2 linked regions of the Mytilus edulis genome follow. The protein of the gene in region 2 binds, or shares a complex with, the protein of the main gene of each other region. Links are inferred from orthologs where the notes say so. Each region holds a gene or a part of one and is shown on either strand. Other genes may lie near its edges.

Region 1 (3,933 bases), on a different chromosome or scaffold from region 2:
TATATTAAGTAATGTCATCCTTTTTCTGCCAAATTCTATGCATATCGGCCACTTTGAAGCTATTTATCTAAAAAAAAAATAAGGATGGTGACATGTGTCGCTATATACATGCACAGGTTCACAATAAAATCCTGGAAATTGTTAGTTTTTTTATTCTTTTCCCATATATATGAGATCGTAATGAATTAGTGAAAAGGTTCGGAATAATTTTTCCGTTACTATGCGCAATTTTCTGCGACTGTCATACAAGTGAGAGGATTGGCTAACCATAAAACCAGGTCCAATCCACCATTTTCTGCATAAGAAAATGCCTAGCTGAACCAATTCGGAATATAACCGTTTTGTTATATATTTGTTTGATTTTGCAGTTAGATTCCGGAGCACCTGAGACCACCCCTAGTTTTTTGGTGGGGTTCGTGTTGTTTATTATTTGGTTTTCTATGTTGTGTCGTGTGTGCTGTTGTTTGTTTGTCTTTTTCGTTTTTAGCCATCGTGCGTTGTCAGTTGTTTTGGATTTATGAGTTTGACTGTCTCTTTGGTATCTTTCGTCCCTCTTTTAAGGACTTTCCGTTTTTAGATTTTGTCGGAGTCGGTTTTTTTTTTTTTTTTTTTTGTTGCTTTACTTTTTATTACCACTTTCTTGAAACTTTTGATTCACTCATTTATTAAATAATTGTTTTCCTGCTAAATTTTAATATTAAAAATTTAAAATACACATTTTTCACGGTCTCCTTCTATACTCTTTTCTCCTTTCTCCTGCCCCTTCTCTCCTTCCTCCCCGGTGCCCCTCTCTCCCTTCTCTATCTCCCCCTCTATCTTCTCCCGCCCCTCTCTCCCATGCTCCCAATACCCGGTCCAGGCCCTCAAGACTTAGGGTCGGCAAAATATTTTGTGAGGAATATTTTTTAAATGGACCATTACGAAATTTAACTTTTTACTTAAAACTTAATTTATCTATTTCAAAACAATATGTTTTTAACCTCTGACAGTTCATTTGAAAGAAAAAATAAAGTTCTTTTCAGTCCGTTATACTTTAAAAGTTTTATGCGGGTATAAAACATACCTTTTGGTTATCACTTGACGCTCAGCTGATAATGAATCATGTGATCATCACAGTTTAAAGATGGCGGTAACCGTAACATTTGTTTCAAAAGTTTTTTCAGTTGTTCTGCTTGTTATTGTTCTATTGGAGACAATAGTTGCATTAAGAACGGTAAGACTATGATTTTGTTTTAAGACGAAATAATATATTTCAATTATTATTGTCAAATAATGAGATATATGAGAGAAATTTAAAACCAAGACTAAAAAAATATTCGGTATTAGAACTTAAAATTTATACATGTACGGTGCAGTCGGTGTATCCGCGCACCTATATGTAAGACTTATGAATTCACTTCATTCAACTGATAAAGCTAATAATACACCTTATCGCTAATCCCGGCTGACACTGCCGCTTCAACTTTTGACATCAACAACAATTACTTTTCCATAAAATTTGTGGCGTTACAGGTATATTTTGCTTTATGATGTCAAAATTTTACGGGAACCTGCGTGATATCCAGTAATGGTGGACAAATAGCGATAAGGTGTATTGGATAATATTGTGTGAACACATTCATAAGATACTTTTATTTCATAAAAATATCTGTTTGTATGGTTTCACCCTTAAGCATGTTAAGATTTTGCGGTCTCACTAATTAGCGACAACAAGAATTTTAGCGACAACAAGCGTCAACAAGCGACAAGAAGCGACAACAAGAATTATTTTAGCGACAACAAGCGACAAGAAACTATTTAGCGACAAGAAAACATTTTTTTTTTTAATCAAAACTAATTATTGCAATAAATATTAAAAGAACATGCAAAAGAAAATAATTTTAGCGACAAGAAAGTTAAAATTGATAAACATTATTTACATAATATTTTATCATCTATTATGAATAACAGCCAGTATTACGTTTAATTATTGTATTATGAAATTACTTTTCCTTGTGTTTTAGAACATATTATTTATCTTATAATTTGTTTTTTAAAACTCTTTTCGTGCAATATGTATTAAGCTCGCAAAATGAATTACTTGTGCATCATTGTCCTGAAAATATTGACACAAATTGTGAAATGCAAAGAATTGAAACCAAACAGGAGGATAAGAATTAATTCCTTCTTAATGAATTTCCTAATTAATGATCATTAATACTCCAGTAATAATAATAATAATTAATGATATGAAACACAAATTGTGTTACAATATCTCCATTCGTTTATTCATACTTTGACTTTGATGAAAACAGATACATACATTATCTTATACATATTCTTCATATTTAAAAATAAAAAAAAAAGAAGCTCAATCTCTTTCTTTTTCACAAATGTTAAATTTCTTCATCTACCAATATACTAATATAAACTTTTTAATTAGACATATCTGCTCGTATATTTAAAAAAAAACATTAAATACAAATTTCTTTATATCTAATAAAAAAAAATGTTTTCTTGTCGCTAAATAGTCTTCTTGTCGCTTGTTGTCGCTAAAATAATTTTTGTTGTCGCTTCTTGTCGATTGTTGACGCTTGTTGTCGCTTCTTGACGCTTGTTGTCGCTAATTAGTGAGACCCAGATTTTGTGTAATGTGTGTCCAAAATTAGGAAAACTCCTGTTCTGAGAGTTCCTCAAATGTCCTGTGATTTCGCACATGCCTTCCAAAAATAGCTTATTTTGAATATAGGAAAGATTTCTGCTACGAAATATAGCTGAATTTGAATCAAGCACACTACCAAGGATGCAGAGCAAAAATTATTTCAATTTGATATAAATTTGACTTAAAATAAAACAAATTTTATCTGATAATGCATTTTTTTTTAATGGAAATTGGCCAAATATTATTTAACTCTTGAACGCGGACATCTGGGACACAAAAGTCACAGGTACTTGAGGACAGTTGATTCATTTGTTCATGTACATGTACATGTTCATGTAGTATGAAAAAAGTCTATTGGAAAATCATGTTTATTCTGCACTCATTTTTTCGGTTATATAATGCTGAACAGTCTAGTTTAGTAGTTCTGTATATCATGTATATGATACAATTGTTTAGGCTATAAAAATATGTGATTCAATTATAGATACAAACTGAATTAAATCCTGGGTGTGATGACACAAAGGAAGATTGTGCAGGAGGAGTGGCTTACATCAAAGCTATTGGAGATCAAAATACATTCCATTATATACTCACAGCCATTGGACCTCCCACAGTCCTGGTCATCAAGACGGAGAAAACAACAAAAGATGCAGGAATAAGCATCAATTGGGACAACTTTAAATCAGGCAATATCACAGAAATGGAAAATTCAATCAAACTAGATCCAAGTTATAAAATACTGTATTCTTATGGAGTTGTCTTTACAAGGGTAAATCTAAATCTGTAATAATATATGTTTGTTATTAGTAAAATTATTTCATTTATAGTGGGGCATAGGGAACACTTGAGACTTTGCGCAGAAACTGAATGCATAACCTTGCTAACTATTTGTTTAATTAAATTAATATTTTTGATTAATGTCAGAATGAGACAAGGCTATTAAGGGAGAAACTTAGCTGTGATAACAAGGCTAGGTTATTTAAGGAATATAACTTATTATATATGACACTTGGGAATTACAGAGAATCTTGCGCTGAACCTCATTACATGCTCGGGTAATTATTTCTTACAATAAATTAAAATACATTGTAATTAAGAATGATTTATGTCTGAGCAAATGCTTTGAAGTGAGATAGAGAAGCTGTGATAACACTCTTTAGTTATTACAGGCATAATTTTTCTGTAATAACATATAGGTGTACCATGCAAAATTTGCAAACTATGAACTGTTATATCTTTCAATAGTTAAGTATACATATAGACAGAAGCAATATCAATAGAACTTTTATACA
Region 2 (3,933 bases):
CTGGCGTTTGTTGTATAGTTAGTTAACATAACCTCACAGACTTCTTGATGTAAACAAAATATACAGCCATTCAATGAAATTTACAAAAAAATGACACGATAAGACAAAAAAAAACAATTTTTATGAATTTATCCAAATGTATGGTTGAAATGTTTCACCAAACAAGGAAAGTCAGTGGTTCCAAATCAACCAAAGGCTATGAATGATTCTGAAATGACAATAAAGTTGTGAAGGACAGTTGGGAAATGGAGACCTAAACGCAACAACCAGCAGGCAGGTTGCAGTCATTTCTTGAAAAATGTACTCAGTATACCATTTCAACAAAACAGATATTCCATTCACTACCCTCTCTTTAGTCTAAACTCTATAAAAACATTAAGAAACCCAAGAATAGTTATACAAATATCAACAAGAGATTTGACATTGACATCCCCCCCCCCCAAAAAAAAATCAGACTTACATATACTTCATTTTTGTCAAGCCTTCGACTTTAGTCAAAAAAACGAGACTAAGCGATCCTACATTCTGTCGTCATCGGTGTCGGCGGTGTCCACAAATATTCACTCTGTGGTTAAAGTTTTTGAAATTTGAATAACTTTCTCAAAAGATCCTGGATTTCTACCAAACTTGGACAGAAGCTTGTATATGATCAAAAGATAGTATCCAGAAGTAAATTTTGTAAAAATAAAATTCCATTTTTTCTGTATTTTACTTATAAATGGATTTAGTTTTTCTGCTGGGAAATATTACATTCACTCTGTGGTAAAAGTTTTTAAAATTTAATAACTTTCTTAAACTATCCTGGGTTGGTACCAAACTTAGACAGAAGATTGTTTATGATCATAAATAGTATCCAGAAGTAAATTTTGTTAAAAAAAAAATCCATTTTTCTGTATTTTACTTTTAAATGGACTTAGATTTTCTGTCAGGAAACAATACATTCACTCTGTGGTAAAACTTTTTAAAATTTTAATAACTTTCTTATACTATTTTGGATTTGTACCAAACTTGGACAGAAGCTTGTTTATGATCAAAAGCTAGTATCTAGAAGGAAATTTTGTAAAAAAATAAATCTATTTTGTATTTTACTTTTAAAGTGACTTAGATTTGCTGCGAAACAACACATTCACCATGTTCACCATGTTCACTCTGAGGTTTAACTTTTTAAAATTTTAATAACTTTCTTATACTATTTTGTATTTGTACCAAACTTGGAAAGAAGCTTGTTTATGATCAAAAGCTAGTATCTAGAAGGAAATTTTGTTTTCTTCTAGTTTTATAACATTACATTCAGTGTGCAGTTAAATTTTTCAAACATTTATTACATAAACTATCCTGGATTTTTACCAAACTTGGACAGAAGCTTCTTACAATCAAAAGATAGTATCAACAGGAATATTTTATTGATTTGTTTCCTCATTTTTGTTGAGCTTGCCATAAACAGAAAGAGTAGGCGAGACACTGGGTTCCGCGGAACCCTTACAATTTTTTTATACAGTTAATGCTCAATAATTTTGTTGGAAATGTCTTTTCTAAATAAGTGGGCACGATTATTGTTTTCAACCAAGGTACAGCCAGATTTTTTTTAAAGCAAAAACAGGTCCAGAATTTCTCTTCCTTAAAATATCTGACCTCCCCGACAATCAAATGGTCCGTACCTTAGACTTCTATTTATCTAGAGATTACTGAGTGGGGATCATTATTCAGCAATTTTATTATAATAATAATGGGCTGGGCAGTAGGGTTAACATGTTTTTGTTGGTAAATATCATAGCTGTGGAACTTTTTTTCATCATGTAAGTCATTTAAGTGTAAGAAAGTATTACCTTCTTTTGGGTGGAATTGTGAAATAGGAATCAATACATCCTTGCTATATCCTTTGTTGCTTTGAAGGTGTTACATGTTATACTTGTCATCCACAGCCTTAGCAATGTGTTACTATATATAGCTAGTATTTGATTTTCAAAAAGAAACAGTGACGTTTTTACAACGTACTGGTTAACTCCACCGTGGCATATTCACTATGATGTAAATATGAGCTAAATATCTTTATGAGTAACAAATTGTCGCATGAAATATAGGGGCAATGGCAAAGTTAATGCAATCTAGTCTTATGAAAAAAAGTGCAAGTTAAGATCTAGAGGGGCTTACAAACTTCTTCACCCCCCTCTGGCAAATGATTAATGTCTGGATGTGCCACTACTTTCCATTGTTAACTTGCTGTAAGCATCTGAGCAAGAAAAAGAGAAAACATAATATGTGAGCATTGTACTTCAAAACACTTACAAGTTACACAGTAACATAATATAAAAATATATATACAAACCAAAGCTTAAGAAACACATGATAATCAAAATCAGATATCTGTGTAAAAATCTGAACGGATTGCAGCAAAGTGTTTTTCCACATCCTGTAAGTTTCTCTTCTTCTTCGTCAGAAGACCCTAACAGTGGCTTCTTTTCACTCTCTGTCATTTTGGTAACTTTTGTGCTTGTGACAAAGTGACAGAATCACATGATTTTTCAATCTAAAAATAGAAAATAAATAAAAATAGTCTCTAAATTTTTTTACACAAATGAAGAAACCTATAAATTCTTACAAAATTCTGATATTCAAATATTTGATTCAGTGAAACTATAACAATAGCAACAATAAGTACAAAAAAATAATCAAAGATTGTTTGGCAGTTTCCGGTTAAAAGTGTCAACATCCGGTGAATAATTTTAGCGGCGAAAACGACTTGTTGTTTGCAGAATGAGTTCTGCAAGCAAGGTATTGAAAATATTGCATTCAAAATTATATATCTTATAGTAAAATGTGAAACCCCAATCATTCACTGAACAACTTATATCTCCACAAGCGCATTTATTTTATATGCATGTAAACTACGTTCACTACGAGACGTTTCGCCCTACGCCTACGGCTAGTACCACTACCAGAAGCAGTTCTTCAATCTTCCATAGGTCGTTTCGGTCATAGTCGTTAAGGTCACGGCTACCAATTCAACCAAATTCGATTCGGACTTCTTTTAATTTTACCATCAGAATCAATCTCTGATGATCTCTCCATGTCTTAAGACTGGAATACAATTTTTCCAATTTGTGAGATTATTTTTTCAGGTTCATTTATATTTTTCCAATCTTCAAAAATTTGTTTAATAGCTATACATAGGGATAGTGATTTTATATGATTTTATTTTTGCAATTTGTCTTATACCAGCTTCTTCTCATTTTCTGCTGCCATTTTGAATTGAAGTATGTACAAATGTATGTACTTCGAGATTCTGCCAATATAGACGCACCCCTTGATTGACTGCAAGCTTATTACTTACCTGGATTTTGACGTGCATTTTTTTCCAGTCTGCAGAAGATAGCAAAATAAACAAACACATAAGTTTCATTTGATCCATCTATTGTCCATTTAAATCAATACTTCTCACAACATTGATTATATGAGAAAAAAGTAAAATCACAAAAATACTGAACTCTGAGGAAAATTCAAAACAGAAAGTCCTTAATCAAATGGCAAAATCAAAGGATAAAACACATCAAACAAATGGACAACTGTCATATTCCTGACTTGGTACAGGCATTTTCAAATGTAGAAAATGTTGGATTGAACCTGGTTTTATAGTGCTAATCATCTTACTTTTATGTCAGTCGCATCAAATTCCATAATTTTGACAACTATCATGACTATGTGTGAACAAAACAGACATAATCAGTAAAATAGTCAAATTATGGTTACGACAGTCATCACTGTGTTACCATCTCAAGACAAACAAACATGTATATACAAAAAACACAAAAAGCATCTATCAAATTAAAAAACACATTCCTTGTTTCGCATGTTGGGTGTCAGAAAATGCAAACGTCACAAAAAAGAAATTTTGTCGTTCAATGTCTGTATAAAACAATTCTAATTTCACATGGA

What was found.
Region 1: the proteins of lysosomal dipeptide transporter MFSD1-like (region 2) and glycosylated lysosomal membrane protein-like are in contact, whole or in part, in a cryo-EM structure (PDB 8R8Q), measured with the Mus musculus proteins. The link is inferred for Mytilus edulis from reciprocal best matches to the Homo sapiens genes MFSD1 and GLMP. Residues at the interface, in NP_080089.1 of Mus musculus: Val288, Glu292, Lys293, Arg295, Phe349, Phe351, Leu411, Asp412, Lys414, Gly415, Tyr416, Leu417, Leu418, Val421, Ile424, Ser428, Leu432, Val435, Leu439; in NP_064387.1 of Mus musculus: Glu250, Asn252, Ser253, Ile254, Asp255, Asp256, Glu257, Pro260, Ala261, Phe263, Gln264, Arg292, Phe364, Leu367, Val368, Ile371, Met372, Ala375, Ala378, Leu381, Met382, Gly385, Phe389.

What each region holds. Positions count from the first base shown.
Region 1 is NC_092347.1:64,502,774-64,506,706, forward strand, and holds the start of glycosylated lysosomal membrane protein-like, read left to right. Parts: upstream 1-1,057; 5' UTR 1,058-1,123; coding exon 1,124-1,213; intron 1,214-3,125; coding exon 3,126-3,410; intron 3,411-3,933. UniProt on the Homo sapiens protein: Required to protect lysosomal transporter MFSD1 from lysosomal proteolysis and for MFSD1 lysosomal localization.
Region 2 is NC_092346.1:89,248,400-89,252,332, reverse strand, and holds the start of lysosomal dipeptide transporter MFSD1-like, read right to left. Parts: upstream 2,636-3,933; 5' UTR 2,475-2,635; coding exon 2,327-2,474; intron 1-2,326. Other genes in the region: BPTF-associated chromatin complex component 1-like, read left to right, coding at 2,755-2,772. UniProt on the Homo sapiens protein: Lysosomal dipeptide uniporter that selectively exports lysine, arginine or histidine-containing dipeptides with a net positive charge from the lysosome lumen into the cytosol.